Linked DNA regions of Drosophila melanogaster. The protein of the gene in region 2 purifies or fractionates together with the protein of the main gene of each other region. This does not show direct contact. Each region holds a gene or a part of one and is shown on either strand. Other genes may lie near its edges.

What was found. Proteins that work in one complex are often made in the same cells at the same time.
Region 1: the proteins of Nak (region 2) and AP-2alpha purify together in Drosophila melanogaster (affinity purification with western blotting; 3 studies listed by BioGRID, with this or other methods). This does not show direct contact.

What each region holds. Positions count from the first base shown.
Region 1 is NT_033779.5:406,757-414,731, forward strand, and holds AP-2alpha (adaptor protein complex 2, alpha subunit), read right to left. Parts: upstream 6,130-7,975; 5' UTR 6,069-6,129; coding exon 5,969-6,068; intron 5,903-5,968; coding exon 5,691-5,902; intron 5,482-5,690; coding exon 5,026-5,481; intron 4,963-5,025; coding exon 4,373-4,962; intron 4,305-4,372; coding exon 3,371-4,304; intron 3,318-3,370; coding exon 3,034-3,317; intron 2,981-3,033; coding exon 2,776-2,980; intron 2,710-2,775; coding exon 2,632-2,709; 3' UTR 2,120-2,631; downstream 1-2,119. Other genes in the region: Polr1B (RNA polymerase I subunit B), read left to right, coding at 1-1,138. UniProt on the Drosophila melanogaster protein: Adaptins are components of the adapter complexes which link clathrin to receptors in coated vesicles. Clathrin-associated protein complexes are believed to interact with the cytoplasmic tails of membrane proteins, leading to their selection and concentration.
Region 2 is NT_033779.5:18,963,811-18,971,936, reverse strand, and holds the start of Nak (Numb-associated kinase), read left to right. Parts: upstream 1-3,192; 5' UTR 3,193-3,521; coding exon 3,522-3,684; intron 3,685-6,347; coding exon 6,348-6,481; intron 6,482-6,544; coding exon 6,545-6,678; intron 6,679-6,753; coding exon 6,754-7,306; intron 7,307-7,372; coding exon 7,373-7,944; intron 7,945-8,126. Other genes in the region: Tango6 (transport and golgi organization 6), read right to left, coding at 1-457, 518-2,719, 2,778-2,838.

The sequences.
Region 1 (7,975 bases), about 19 Mb from region 2:
GGAAGATGCTATGATCATCAACAAGGCTGCTTATGAACGAGGATTCGCCTATGGAAGTATCTACAAAACAAAGTTTTTGACGTTGGACAAGAAGAGCAGTTACTTCGCAAGGCATCCACACATGCCGGAGTTAATAAAGCATCTTGACACGGATGGTCTTCCACATCCGGGCTCCAAATTGAGCTATGGTTCGCCCCTGTACTGTTACTTTGACGGAGAGGTCGCCACTTATAAAGTTGTGAAAATGGATGAAAAGGAGGATTGCATAGTAGAGAGCATCCGACAGTTGGGAAGCTTCGATTTGTCGCCAAAAAAAATGGTGGCCATCACACTGAGGGTTCCACGACCTGCCACTATTGGAGACAAGTTTGCATCAAGAGCTGGTCAGAAAGGAATTTGCTCACAAAAATATCCTGCAGAGGACTTGCCATTTACGGAATCTGGTTTGATTCCAGACATTGTGTTCAATCCCCACGGCTTCCCCTCCCGAATGACAATCGCCATGATGATAGAAACGATGGCGGGAAAGGGGGCTGCAATCCACGGAAATGTTTACGATGCCACGCCTTTTCGCTTCTCCGAAGAGAATACTGCTATTGACTATTTTGGCAAAATGTTAGAGGCTGGGGGTTACAATTACTACGGAACGGAGAGGCTGTATTCCGGCGTAGATGGCCGCGAGATGACTGCTGACATATTTTTTGGAGTGGTGCATTACCAGCGTCTTCGGCACATGGTGTTTGACAAGTGGCAAGTAAGATCTACGGGAGCGGTGGAAGCTCGGACCCATCAGCCAATTAAGGGCAGAAAACGCGGTGGAGGCGTCAGATTCGGTGAGATGGAACGGGATGCTTTGATCTCTCACGGTGCTGCTTTCCTGCTGCAGGATCGCTTGTTCCACAACTCCGATAAGACGCACACCCTGGTGTGCCACAAGTGCGGCTCCATTCTGGCGCCTCTGCAACGCATTGTTAAGCGAAATGAGACGGGAGGACTCTCTTCTCAGCCAGATACGTGTCGCTTGTGCGGGGATAACAGTTCTGTATCGATGATCGAGATACCATTCTCTTTTAAGTATCTGGTTACCGAATTGAGTTCGGTCAACATTAATGCGAGATTTAAGTTAAATGAAATTTGATTTAAATCTAAAATTATTGTTAGGTCCTATGTTAACCCGTGCGCTAATCGTAATAAAGATAAATACGTAAAATACAACTGTGCTTGCCAAGTGTTTATATCCAGATCGTGGAAACGTTTTAAACACCTTTCAAATGGTTTCAATTTATATTTATTTAAATACATATTGGTTTACGTTTACAGTTAAATTCCTGCACTTGCTATATGTAGTTGTGGCTTGGTTTTCTTGCTCTTGCAGTTGCTTTTGTTTTGTCTGTGAGTGTTAAATGGAATTTGTGTGGAATTTTGTAACATTTAACTATTGCACTTTGGAAATGCCTAAATTTCCAGCTGTCATGCACATTGGTTTTTACGAAAGGATCGAGAGTTTAATGGTAATAAGTATTTGATGTCAGTTTCCATTATCGGTTTTCAGTATCAGTATCTATATAGTGTATATTTTAGTTTACAATTCTTTGTTCTTTATCGGCAGCCGTCTCGCATTTGAAGAGAGTCATTAGCAGATTTATGGCTGGCGGCTACTGCTGCTGCTGCTTCAGATTAGTTAATACTTGGTGCTACAAAGATCGCTTTCTCTTCAGGAAGCGGCACAACATGAAGTAGCCCCTCTCAGTTTATCTATGGTACACAAACGAAACGTAATATTACCCAGAATCATTCAAAAAATTCTGCTATAAGTATAATAATATTCTGAAATTTTTGCTTCGTTTTCTTCAATAGGGAAATTTTTCCTATCGTTAATAAATTTTAAGTTGCTCAACAGTGATTAATCAAGGAGATTTTGTGGATCTGTCTAATTATTTGTCTATTATTTAATGAGATTTCTGCTCTTGCGGTCCTCCATTGGATTTTACAATCAAAAACATTAAACATGAATTTCGTTTAGATGCAATTGCAATAATCAATATATGTATAAATATTTAGATAACGATTTGCATACTTGTCATTTGCAGGCATCTTAATAATTCCCTTGCAAGCTTTTCTCTTTTGTTTTATATTGATTTCTGTTTTTATTACAACGACGTATATACTAGGTATATGTATGTGGTTTGTATGAATGTATGTAGATCTGTATATAGGTATATAATATCCAATTGCTACTGCCTCGAAATGATGCAACAATATATAATTTGTCATACATATAAACATAATCTAATTATGTTCTCTCGTTTCTCTACTATGAACTTTTTGAGCTTAACATTTACAAAAAAGTTTGGGAACATGAAATTGAAAATGGTTAAAGTAAGAGTAGGTTTACAAACATAATATTCAAATAAACAGGACAGTGGGTAAATCAACTCGCTGTTGGAGAAGATGAAAGGTACTTAAGAAGAGTGTAGGAGTGTGCCTGGCATAACTAAACGCGTACAGTTCTAGGGCCTTGTATGCTTTGATATTTCTCTAGGTAATTGGGATTGTGCATTGTAAAGTGGTTGCCGTTGCTCCATGGCTTCGCAGCTCCGTCTCCATCACCCCGTCCATGATTGTTGTGGCTTAGAATTGATCCGTCAACAGATCGCAGATTTCCCGAGTTACGGTCTCCTTGCTTGCCCGAACTGTCAGTCGGAACATCTATTGATAATTTGAGAAATAGGCAATAGGCATTATGTTCCAAGTATCTAACAATAAATTACTCACCTGAGCCTGCTTGTTCGGCTCCAATCGCATAAGGCAGCCCACCTGTTGCGATTGCGTATGAATGATGCCCGCGCAGACCATGTTGTCTGGATTGGGATCCACTTGGTCCAGCAGTTGCATTCCAAAGCCCATAAGCTTGTTGCGGGCTCCGGGCAAATCCAGTGGCTGTGCAGCCTTGAACACTTTCTGTGACCGTTGTTGTTCACTACAAATGCACAATTAATATTGAATATTATCAAAAGACACCTTATTAAATACCCGCTAAGGTTCTTCCATCGTGCAAAGAATGATTCCGCATTCATTTCGGTAGGCTCAAAGAATTTGTTAACGCTCAATGGCAGTTTAATGCTGAACTTCTGCTGGGTGCCGTTGTAGCGGAAACTGATCTCGATTGTTGGCGCATCGGCGTAGTCCTCGATGCATTCCGCGGTTAACAGTTGTTGGATCTGGGCGCCGGCCTCCAGGGTTGGCTCCACCACCTTCATCTGCACGTTCAGCTTAAGCGCATCCTCGGCAGACCATTGCAGCACAGGATTGAAGTTCTGAAAAGAGAGCAATGTAATGCCTGGAATGTTTCAGAAACTAATTTACTTACTGTCAGGGGAACCTGTGTCTTGTTGCCGTAGAAAAGGCCTAATCGTCCTAAATTCTGGCGAAACTCGCTCTTCACACCGATCTGCAGCATTTCGTTCTCAAACAAAACACCATTGTTCTTGAACAAAAACTTCTTCGTGTTGTACACGGCACTTGAGTTGTTGTTACTATTGCTGCCGTACATGTCGCCCAAAACATCAATGAGCGTACTGTTGCTATTGCTACCACTGCCAATATTATTTGATGGCGGAGTGCTTAATCCAAGCAGATCCGTATTTGCGTTGCTGTTATTCAGCTTGCTATGTGAATTGTTCACAAGGGCGTTGTTCTGCGCTGCAGAAGTCAGGGGTGCCGGGCTCTTCGACTCGCGAATTTCGTTCTCCGGCACCCTGCCGGGCTTCTTCTTCTTTAGCACTGCTAAAATTGAGCTCTCGCGTTCCGGGAACGATGGCATCTCCTCCAGGACGGTGGCCAAAACGTCTGTCGATGCCACTATGCTAAGCTGGAGATATTCGCTAGCTCGCTGCTGCAGTTCCGCATCTGCGGATCGAAGATTGCTGTGCTGGCGGAACACATCCTGGATATTGGTACGAATTTCCGGAAAGAGGTTGATAAATTTAATGTACGTGGACAGAAGAAGGGCCCGGGTCATCGGCGAGCACAAGTGGTACTTGGAGTGCAGTAGCTTGAATTGTACCAGTGGTGCTGAGCGGGAATCTCCGGCGATTAAGTTGCCAAACTCGCCCAAGATGTAGCCGCCCACTTTAACCATGTTTTCGTGGCAGGCAGGGGCCTGTAGCGCCTCAAAAACAGTCTTTGCGGCATAGCCTTGAACCTCCTCGCGATTGATCACGATCTGAATGACGCGGTACCATACTTCCTCAGACACGTAGTCGCCAGCAATGCGAATTAGATTGAGGATAACGTCCACATACCTGGTAATATAGCGGTTGTCATAAAGCACATAGACTTTTAAGCACAAGCTAAAAAAGAGAACACCTACCAGGTATAATCCGTGGCGTACTTCTCGGCAAGAATGGCCACCTTGAGCACCATTTCCTCACGAATAGAGTAGTCGGCCGTCTCCAGATAGTTGAGCATCTCCTGAACAATTTCCTCGGCATTACCACGATCACACATGGCATACAAAAGATCCACCGCCATTTGGCGCACGGACACGTCCTTCTCCATTTTCATTGACAAAATGACCACCTCCTGGTGCTTCTTCACCTCCTCGTGCGAGAACTCCGATGTGGCCAGGTGGCACATGGACTCCAGAGCCAGATAGCGCAAGTTGGTCTCCCGATTGCTAAGGAACTGTCCCAACTGGTTGCAAGCGCGGACAAGAAGGTTCGGCTCGCTGTCGCTGTGAATGATCAGGTTGATGGCCTCGAAGAGCACGGCGTTCTTTGCGTTAGAGTGCTGCACCTTCTTACTCTTTGGCGGCTCTTGCGCCTTGTTCAAAATCGTCTCCAAAGTTTCATTCAAGCGGGCCCGCACACCGGCCTCTTCGGTCACTGGATTGTAGTTTTGCAGCAATCGCAGAAGTTTCACCGATAGCCATGGAGCCGGCACAAAGTAATATGTGTAATCCTGCAATGCGAATTTAGTTAGTAATTAGAAGTTTCTTACCTTAAAAAATGCATTAAATCGTACCTGAAGATCCGTGTAGCTGGCTGTTACGATCCGGGATAAGCGTGAAACAGCCAAATTAACACAACCCTTGTACTCGTCCGGATTGCGCTTCACCAAGGCGTCGATCAGCGAGGTGGCCGCTGTGACCACTCCCATGTGCTGATCATTGAGCAAATGGATAATGCGCGAAGTCCACTCACCACCGGGAATGATGTCCGGCGAGGAGCGGAACAGGCGGAGCAGGCATAGCGCCGCCGACTGCTTCACCACGTCCATGGTGTCGCCCGAGACGAGTAGCTTGGGTATTTCGTTGGAAAAGGACTCGGCCATATCCCGACTTCCAATGTTGGCAATGCATTGTAGTGCCAGATTAACGTGCACAGGATTACGCGACTGCAAATCATTCTTTATAGATTGGATGATCAGCCGAATAAGGTCGCTGTTGGTGTTCACCAACACTGAGATGAAAAGGTAACCCTAAAGTTCAAAAAACAGATTTTATCAGTAACATTAAATTTAAAAAACCAATTTTTTAATTATTTTTATCAAACTTCAAACAACGACAAGTTAAATTTAATTGAATGAAATTCCCTTTTCCCACAAGCAGAGTCGTCTGCTTTCAGTTCAATTATTTCGACTCGCTAAATAAACAAATGATTATTGAAGCAATTTTTTGGGGTACTCACAATCTGCTTTTCTGAGTATTTGTTGGAGGACAGCAAATTGACCGCCTCCATGTGCCCGAAGTCGATGTCATGGCCGAGGAGAAATATGAATAACAGCTTACAGACATATTTCTTTTTCTGATAGCCGTCGAGGGTTTTGTCTCCTTTAAATTTGCTTCGTATATTGGCCAACTCCTTGTTTATGCGTTTGACTTCGGCCTCTTTGCTTTTGCCTGTGGGCAAATGGGTGAATATTAGTATAGAAATTTGTGTCTTATGCGGGTATAAGGGAGATTCACAGTAAAACAACAGTGATTCGTCTGCGGAAGCTTCGCTTTCCTTTCCACCCCGCGATTGATCGATCGGAGAGACGACTTCACACCCTTCAGCTCTCTCCATGTCGCGGATTTTCTCCGATTCACATAGGCGTCAATTAGTACCAGTCACCGATCCGCAGCGGAACCTCTGCTCTCCTATATGTTGTCCACAAACCAGAAACTAGTAACCGAGCATACAGCAAACAACGAGCTGTGATAATAATACCATACAGTGAAGCGTCGGACTCTTGCGCACACACATATGCACGCTTCGAAGTACTACAGTAAGTCATCAAACTATCAAAATTGTAAGTATTTATTAATACTGAGAGGCAACCGATTCACATTGATATAACTATTTGCTGTGTTGTACCCATATATATAACTATATATATAACTTTCTCATATCTTTCTAATGTAACGACTACGAAAACATTTACATAGGAATGGAGAAGAAAAGTAGCCAATATTTTGTAATTCATCTGGCAGAGAGCTTACTGTTCCTGCGTTTTTGTACCGCCCCACGTTTTTGTCAGTGCGCTGCTCCTGGTAATTGATCAAGTAATGGCGCTGATTCCGCCCCTATGGAAAATCTCTTGTTGCGACCCGCTCAATTGGATTTAATGCTGGTTACCCAAGAGATCTGCACTTACAGTTCCTTATATCCGATATAAAGACGGCCAGGCCTCTCATGCCATCCCCCCGCACCGGCGCCATGGTAGTTAGCTTGTTAATTTTCGCTGGTTTTATGCAAACTGGGGGCGCAAGAAAATCGTCAATGGATGGCGGCCGAGTCTCGAGGCGTTCTTATCGCTCGAACTCGACGTCGGACCCTAAGATATATAGTTGCTCTCCGCTCTGGTTCTGCAAAGCTCTTTTTACTTCGATTGGATCTCGGCCGTTCCTTGGGACCTGAAAGGGGAAACGATACTCTATTTATTGTGGGTTGTGGGAATGGGAAAACTTAGTATTATGATTACGTTTTAGTATTTGTGTTAACAAACGTATATTATTCAAACAAAAGGTATTTTGGATAACAATTTGTATTTAGCCAGGGAGTAGCTTATTGTGCATGCCAACACATTGATACAGCTTCTATTTTGAAAGTCCGTATTGCAGTTTTACTTTTGATAACGAAAACGCCACAAAATATGTATGCACCACACATTTCACTGAGCATCAAGCGCTGATAACGATTTATATGTATAAAAAATCCAATGTTTAATAAACTCAGAACTTTTAAACGGTAAATAGTGGACTACGTGATTGATTTTCCGGCCAGTGCACCCAATGGCTGGCGAACTTTGACATTTTCTGGTGGAAGTAGAGTGTACCCCCGCATTTTTGGCAACCGATTTATTTTCAACTTGGCAGCGTTTTGCCCGTTGATAAAGATTCTGTGACCTCGCTCGCCCACTTTTTATCGCCTGGCGAAGTCGATGTGCACTTGGGCATTATTATTTGGATTTGCGCGACCACCGGCTTTTGTTTCTGTAGTATACTTTTTACTTTGCTTTCCGTTTCGTTTTATTTTCTGTTTTTCACTGCGCTCTTCGGTTCTCTTCTTTCTTTGCTTTCATGTCACGTCACTTTTTTCACCGCTGGATGACGAGGGCGTTTTGCCCAAAAAAAAAAGCACCGAAGAAGCCTCCAAAAACATTAATGGGCGTATGTTAGCTGTTCTTTTTTTTTGAGCTTACTTTTCCGATTTTTTTTACTCGCCAGCGGACAAAATCGGTTAGCGTTGCGGAATTTCTGTGGCGGAGCAGAGAGAGTAATCTCTGACTTCTGAAGTTGGCTTCGCTTGGAATCGGAATCCGGGGTGTTGGCTGCGGAATGTTTGACCCTGCGTGTTGCACTTTATGGAACTCCAACTCGCTGGAGCTTCGCCTCGCTGATTTGCCGCTAATTTGTTTGTTAACTATTACCAAGTGCAGGGCAATTCACTAAAATGAAAATTTCTATTGATTTTTCTTCGCTCTCGCTGCC
Region 2 (8,126 bases):
TCGTCCTTAATGCCCAACACCTTAATCTGCTTCTGTAATGATTTCTCCTCCAAGGCAGATTGTATCAGTTTTGTGCACTTTTTGTTTAAAATTTTCAGACCGTTTGCAGCATGCTGACGCATTTGAGGATCACAGGATTCATCCGCTTCAATCGCTTTTAAAAGGCGATAAATGGGGAGTAACATTTCCTGGTAATCCAGAAGGTTCTCCATGCCGTTTAATAGTTCAGCTAAGACCAGGACTGCTGCACGCTTAGAGGGAACATATCCTCCGGTGGTTAATTCGCTATTAACAAGTTGGAGTAACTCGTGGAAGAAGTTCTGCACTTGAAAGGCCAAAAGGCGACAAAGCTGGGCAAGATTGGCAAAGGCTGACATCCGGAATTCGTGAACAGGAGACCGGGAGCCGTACATGAAGCAGTTGAGAAGAACAGCCTTGTATCGAAAGCAAAGAGGACCTGGATGGGATTAGTATGAAAGTTTAGGAGTTATTCTTAGCTGTGTAGAACATTGCTTACCCAACTCCTGAGCGACTTTCAGAATAGCTTCACCCACTACGAGGCGGTAGTCTAAGTGAGCCGTCTCTGATAGGTACTCATCACTCAATTTGTCCAGCACATCGGACTCCATCACATGAACAAGCGACACAAAGAGCCGAACACAATTTAAGAAGGTGTAGGATTCCTTATCCTTGAGAGTGGTCAGGGCTAACGCTATGATAAGTTGACCCTGCGCTAAGGTAGCAGGATCTCTTTTTTTCAGCAAATCAATCATCATCTGAATTCCATACACTTGCATGTGGGATTGTTTTTCCTCTATCAAGGACCGAGCTCTTTGAAAAGGTTGTATTTTAACAGCCTCACTTGGTCGCCATGCGCCGTGAATTATTGTAAGCAATGATTTTACAGATTGCTGGATAAGAGGGTTGGAAGATCGAGTACCCAACAGGTGCAATTGTTCTTTCAGTTCCTTACAGGCCTCTGAAAGTTGAATATTCTCACTGCCCTCAAGAATTTCCTGCAAGAGGTTTAGAACGAGAAGTAGGATCTGATCCGTGGTATCTTGCTCTCTAGATCGGTGGACAAGCAAGTCTTTTAGTATATGTAGAAGCTCCTTGGTATGTTGTGATAGCTGAGCTCTTAATGGTTGGTGGGCTACCATTTGGTTTAAAGCAATGAGCAAATCTAGCTTCAGTTGATATTTGGAGTGCAGAAAGTCTTTGAGCTCTGCTTCTGATGAAATAAAATCTACGCTGGCTGAAGATTTATCATTTATCTGTTTAGCTATGAAGCCCAGAAGAGAGAGGAAAACTTTGCAGGTGAGGGAATGATGAGAGCTTGATGTGAGTAGACCGGGCAATATTCTGCCCATATCGTGATCTGCTAGATGATCTTTGTGAGCTACTTTAACCTGAATTTGAGTTGTGTTCATGGAAGGCAGGATTATAATGCGTGGGTTTAAACACTTCCAAGGAGGTTCCTTCTCAATTTCCCATTTAAACAGCTTCTGGAGTATCGCAGGTAATTCGTTTTTCATTTCTCTGTTGTCCAGACAACGCAAAATAATGGCAGAAATCTGCGATGACGCCGGTAATTCCATTGGAAGGCCATCGTAGAGTTGGAGCAGCAAAGGAAGGTAGGGAACGAGTAGATTACTGGGTAAGCAAGCTACGGTTGAAGAACAAAAGAGATGCTGCCATAAGAGAATGCGATTGCACAGTTCCTGGTGATCCATTAAGATAAGGCCATTAATAATGTCTTCTGGGTTACAAAGCGTTTCCCAGTGTTTGAATAATATTTCTTTTATCAGCTTTTGATTTGTATCACTTAAATCGTAAAGTCTTCTGAGCGATAGGACACCGGCGCACATTTTGTCCGCATTCTGCAGATAGAACTTACAATATTCTAGCACCTGGAGAACCATCTTCTCTTGCGCTAACTGAGAAAATCCTTTTCTGGCCACAATACTAGCCACAATTTCCGCATTTCTGGAAGAATTCACATTGGGATTTTGATGCAGGGCCTCAACAAGACTAGCAAATCCTTGGGGTAAGTGAAGCTTTCCTAAGAGTTGACGGTGCAATAATTGGGCCAGAGTTGGGCAGAGAGTCGTAGCTTTAAAAAGCAAGATGTTGCGAAAGAAATCTGCTTTGGATTCATATTGCCAGAGGTAGGCTATAGCCTTATCCAGCAGTGGAGAGTCTTGCTGCACACGTAGACTCACAATGGCCGCCAGTAGATCCCTTTGCACCAGCTCCATCGAGTTGGCTATGTGGTATTGTCGAATATGCAGTAGATTAATAAAGAACTGAATGCTTAGAAGCATCAATGAAAAGTTAGCTTTGATTTTCCCCTGAGCCTCACAAAAGATGGGCGACTTGTAGAAATCCTCATGTAGCTGGCATCGAAGCGAGTAATATGATAATTCTTGGGAAGCCTGGATACACAATTTCAGGTGCGCTACCGAAATAAGATCCTCCTTGGCGTCGCTGTGGAAATTAATGTTCCTCATGATCGAATGTAGCACATGTTGCAATCTTATTATATAGCATATAGTACGATCCGAATCGGGATCAATACTAGATTCGTGATCGTCTGTTAACTGATATTCCAGGCACAGCTCATGCAATTGCTGACCAATCTCGAGTTTAGCATATTTTTCCAAAATTCGCAGGTTGATTTCCAAGGCTTCGGCAGTCCCTGAGTTATTCGCCGTATTTGCTGTCGAAATATTAGTATTAGGGATACTACAATTATTATATGATGTTAACCAATTTACCTAGAGCTTTACTAAACCTTAAACTCTCTAGAAGAGCAAAGTACTTGGCCGTATTTATCATTGTTATCCCAGCAAACTACAATTTTGCGAATTTAGCGACCATTTGCTAGAGATGCTTGTTTACAATTGCACCAGCACAATCGATAACATATTGATAAGGGAAACACGATGTTGGCAGCATAGCTAATTAAAACTGCGCGATAGTTTAATGCAACTGTAGCTATATGTTTTATTGAAAGTAGAACCATATTATCTTTTTAAATTGGATCAAATTACAAAAAATTGTTATCATAAAACCTATTTTGTAAACGGGGATTTCCTTGTTTTCAGAATTTCGAGATTGCAACCAACTTATCTATATATCGATAGGCGGCTGCACCAGCCGCGGGTTGCGCATCTGACTGCAGCAAAGCGCCCTGGTCACACTGGCCCAACAACTCGAGAGCAGCAGGAAAATCGAACAACTTTCTTTTTCCACTGCATTGTGTGTGTGCATGCAAAAACACAAAGTGCGCAGAATAGCTTTATTCAGCTAGCCGATACGACTCGAAAGTGGATTAATTGGCCAGCGGCACCGACGCCCCGCCCACCGTCAGCCGCCCTCGCAAAATTAAAAATTGCCAAAAACACCTACGCGCAGGCAATTAAGACCGTGTTAGCTAGTGTGCGTGTGTGCTCGCGAGTGTGTGTGTGTGTGTTGTGCTGCTGGGGCAGTAAACATTTTCTAGTGAAAATCGGGGGAAAATGAAGAAAATCCTGTCTAAGTTCGAGCGCAATGAGAACTCTCGACTGGAGAATCCGCCCAACAGCAGCAGCTCGTCGTCCTCGAACGAGAAGAACAGCTTCGTGGGCAAGGTCTTCACAGTGGGACGCGTCACGGTCACCGTGGAGGATGTCCTGGCAGAAGGTAGACGACTATATATACACTCTTATATATGTGCTCCCATTCCCCTACCTACAACACGTCGCCCGCGATTATGCTTATCACCTGCCTGATTTACAGGTGGGCAGTAGCCTGCCGTCCGCTTTTCGGTCTCGCCCCTCGTCACAGATTAGATAAACCCCTTCAGCGCGAGAACTCCCAAATGTGGGGCGTACTCAAAGCGCTAGAGAGCATAAAAATCAGCTGCGTATCCTCCATAATTGGGGACACCACTTGTCGCATTTCCGATTAAATCCAAATAAATTACTCCCAATAATTTCTGTATAAGATGTTAAACTCAAAACAGCTAAAATCTGACTTTGATATATTATCTTTTAATAAAACTGTAAAACATTTTAAATTATTTCATTAATTATGAATACTAAATACTGGTTTGTAACCTAAATTCCAACTAATTGAACTGCAATTTTGCCCTTGGCATAGAACTACATATTTATGTCCATAACTCGGCTCTCTAATGGCGTGCAGATATTTCGTCCAAATTTATGTCAGTCTTTAAAGAGTTTATTTTTGCCAAAACCAGAAATGCCAGCATTTCTATTGTGACAAATGGGTGTCCGCGTTAGAGAAACCCGACTGTACAAACACAGTTACGGTTCTGGTTGGTTTTTCCATGGAATACCCATTGAATTCCCGTAGCCACTACACATGGCCACAAATCAATTGAATCAATTATGTTAATTTAGCCAATGAAGCGGCAAGACCAACACTCATCAGCCGACTGTCTCCGACAGTCTTCCGTTTTTCACCTTTCGCCGAGCTAAATGGCAAAGTTCGCCCCTAAGGAAATCGCCTGTGCTGTGTCCTTGTCCTTGAAATGCGGAGTGCTCCACTCCACATCATCCTGCAGTGCAAGTGCCTCCTTGTTGGCCTGGCACCAGTACCCTCCGCCCAACATTTGATCATCTAACGATTGCTCACCCACCGCCTGGCCAGCCATTCGCCACCTTTCCTTTAGCCATTACGTAGTGTTTTTTACTTTTTATACTTTTGGCAAGCGGACTCGATTCGTAATTTTGTTTTGCGCTGCGCTGGCGCCGCTGGCAATTAGTCAGCTGTTGTCGGGCATACCCTGTAATTAAAAAGGCGGAGCGTTTGACGAACACGGTTATTTGGTTAAAGTTATTGAATTAGTATAACAAATTATAAACTAAATTATATATTATTTATTAATTCATTTAATCCAGTAACGTAACTATTGGTATTTCATTTAAGAAAGAGAAAAAATAAATAGAGTCTTTTGCAGATGCTCAATGAATAAAATGCGCGTATAGCCAAGTTTAAACTGCTCGATATGCTGGATACTTCCAAAGTAACACTGTGCTTAATCACCTTCAATATTTACCTGCTTTCTTTGATTCGATTTTTGAGCAGCCAACAACAATTACAAATGACTAAGCGACAAACGGTTAACGAATGAAGCTTTCCCGCCTTAACCCCTCAGCCCCCACCCTTAACCGCTTACTGCCCACCTTGCAGTTGACGCCCCTTCAGACGTATTTTCTACCCTCGTTTGCGTTTCGAATTGCCTTCTCGCGTTTTCTCGCATCGCTACAATTGTGCATTGTTATTGTTGCTTTTCATACTATTATTACTGGATGTTGTTGCTGTACTTTTTGCCAATGTTGATTTGTTGCTGTTGCAACCTTCAGCATTGATTAACATTTGACGCCATAATTTCACAAAGTCGAGCAAAAATGGTTACATTTGCTGGTCCGCTATTCACTTCTCTCTATCGCCTACACAGGGAGAAATGGTGTGTGCATTTACAGCAAATGTTCCATAAATATTTTCAATATTAAAACATTCTCCTAATCGTTGCATCGTCTATGCATCTAATGTATTGAGATCATTTTTTTTTCTAATATCATTTCATTTTATATCTAATATATATTTTTATGTTTTTTTCTTAGTGACCACTGTTCCTATCTTTTTATTTTGCCGCCCCACCGCCTTCCCCCGCTGAGTATTGTTATTGTCGCATGTTATTGTTGTTATTTCTGTACGTGACCTTCAATAGTTTAGTTTATATTGCGTTGCCTTTTTATCGTACATTTTGAAGTGGCGTAAAGCGACAGGTGGAGAGGGCTGAAATGTGGGGGCATTCTACTTGAAATTCTATTTGCAATAAACTGAAATAAACCTCATGCAAATGGCCTGTTAGGCAAAACATGTGTAAATCGTTCCATGGCCAGACAGTAACTGCTATCACTCGAATTCGGGTACCCTCTACTATTTTAACACCACGGGGGGATATTTGTGAACGTGAAATGTTTATAGTAAAGAAATTCCATTATTATCACGTAGATATATGGCATAAATTATGTGGGAAGGAATGGCCAAAGATACGTGTGCTATAAAAATGTGACACATATTTCCTTTTAATAAACAAATTAGTTTATTAATTAGCTACTTCCTGCCATATAAAATAAAATATTCGTATATATGTATTATGAATATACAATAACAGGGTATTCATCGGGTTTAGCTTACTCGCAGTTTCCTCCCCCATTCAAATATGCTATGTTGTTTACAGCTGACAGCTGTTATGGATGTCTAGCCCGTCAACTTACCCCATGCTCTAATGCTCTGTTTTTCTCTTCCCCATCTCTTCAAAACTCACGCAGGTGGTTTCGCCATGGTCTTTTTGGCAAGGGGCAACGGCGGAGGCAGTTCCTCGGCGACCAAGTACGCCCTGAAGCGCATGTACGTCAACAATGAGCACGATCTGAACGTAGCCAAGCGGGAGATACAGATTGCGGTGAGTAAATAAATCGGGACAAACAAACCTAATCTAATAGGGCAATCACTTTCACTCCCCCAGAGCAACCTGAGTGGGCACAAAAACATCATTGGTTATGTGGACTCCAGCATCACGCCCACGGGAAACGGGGTGTGCGAGGTGCTACTCCTGATGCCCTATTGCAAGCATCACATGCTGGCCATGATGAATGCGAGGTAAACGAAGTGAATCTAAAAATGTAGTCCATTTGATTGCGGAATTCGAATGTAATCCAATGAAATTCGCCACAGATTGCACGTTGGCTTCACGGAGCCAGAGGTGCTCAACATCTTCTGTGATATTGCCGAGGCTGTCTCTCGATTGCACTATTGTCAGACTCCGATTATCCATCGGGATCTTAAGGTGGAGAACATTCTGCAAACGGACGCGGGCAACTTCGTACTCTGCGACTTCGGATCGGCAACGGCCAAGACGTTAAATCCTCAACAGCACGGAGTCACCGTGGTGCAGGAAGAGATCCAAAAGTACACCACTCTATCTTATCGGGCTCCCGAGATGATCGACCTGTACGGGGGCAAGAGCATAACCACAAAGGCGGACATCTGGGCACTGGGTTGCATGCTCTATAAGCTGTGCTTCTTTTCCTTGCCATTTGGGGAGAGCACTTTGGCTATCCAGAATGGACAGTTTTCCATTCCAGACTCCTCAAAGTACTCGAAGGGCATGCACCAACTGATTAAATATATGTTGGAACCCGATATGGAGAAGCGACCAAACATTTGGCAAGTTTGCGAGGTGGCCTTTCGACTGGCGGGCAAGGATAATCCCGTTCAGAATCTCCATGTGAGTGATGCATAATGTTTGTGTTCAGATTCCTGTATGATAATCTGTTTGCTTATTTTTAATCAGAAAACTCCCATTCCAAACTTCGACCTACTGGTAGTGCCTCCGTTTGAATCGGAAGCCAAGAGGATCAGTGCAGCGGCCTCCAAGGCGGCGAAGGCTCAGAATGTGTCAGTTGTGGAGGCGGGAACCAGTGTAGCTCCTCGGTCTCGTCCTAAGGGTTCCTCATCGGTACATGGAGGAAATCCATTGGGTCTCGGTTTGCCTCCCAGTCCCTCGCCAAGACAGAATATCACTTCTCCACAACCCCAACCTCAACCTGTGGTCGAGCAGTTCCAGGCCAACTTCCCAGCTATGCCACCTGCTGTTCCTCCACCTCCTCAAGCTGTTACTCCGGCAGCTCCTGCTGCCAGTAAACTCTTCGAGTCAAGTGGCTATCCAGATCCATTCAATGAGCCAGCTGCAGCAGTAATTCCTACTGAATTTCTACCAGCAGCAGAAGAACCTAACAAGGAGGAAGTGCCTCAGGACTTAAACGTCATTGCAGGCACGCCCACCAAGAGCATGTTGACACCGCCCAAGCCAAGCGGAGGAGGTGGTCATAGGCGTAACGTAAGCGACACCTCGGCCTTCAATAAGTAAGTTGCATACAAGAAAACAGAAGCTAATCTAAAATCAAGAATACACATTTTGATTCTACAAATTTTAATTCCTATCTTAGTTACCTGTTTAAGCACAAAAGTTGTGTCTTGTTATCGTTTTTAAAGTTTACTCGGCCAGAATCAATATAATTGCTTTCCCCCAAAGGTTTCAGCCTGAA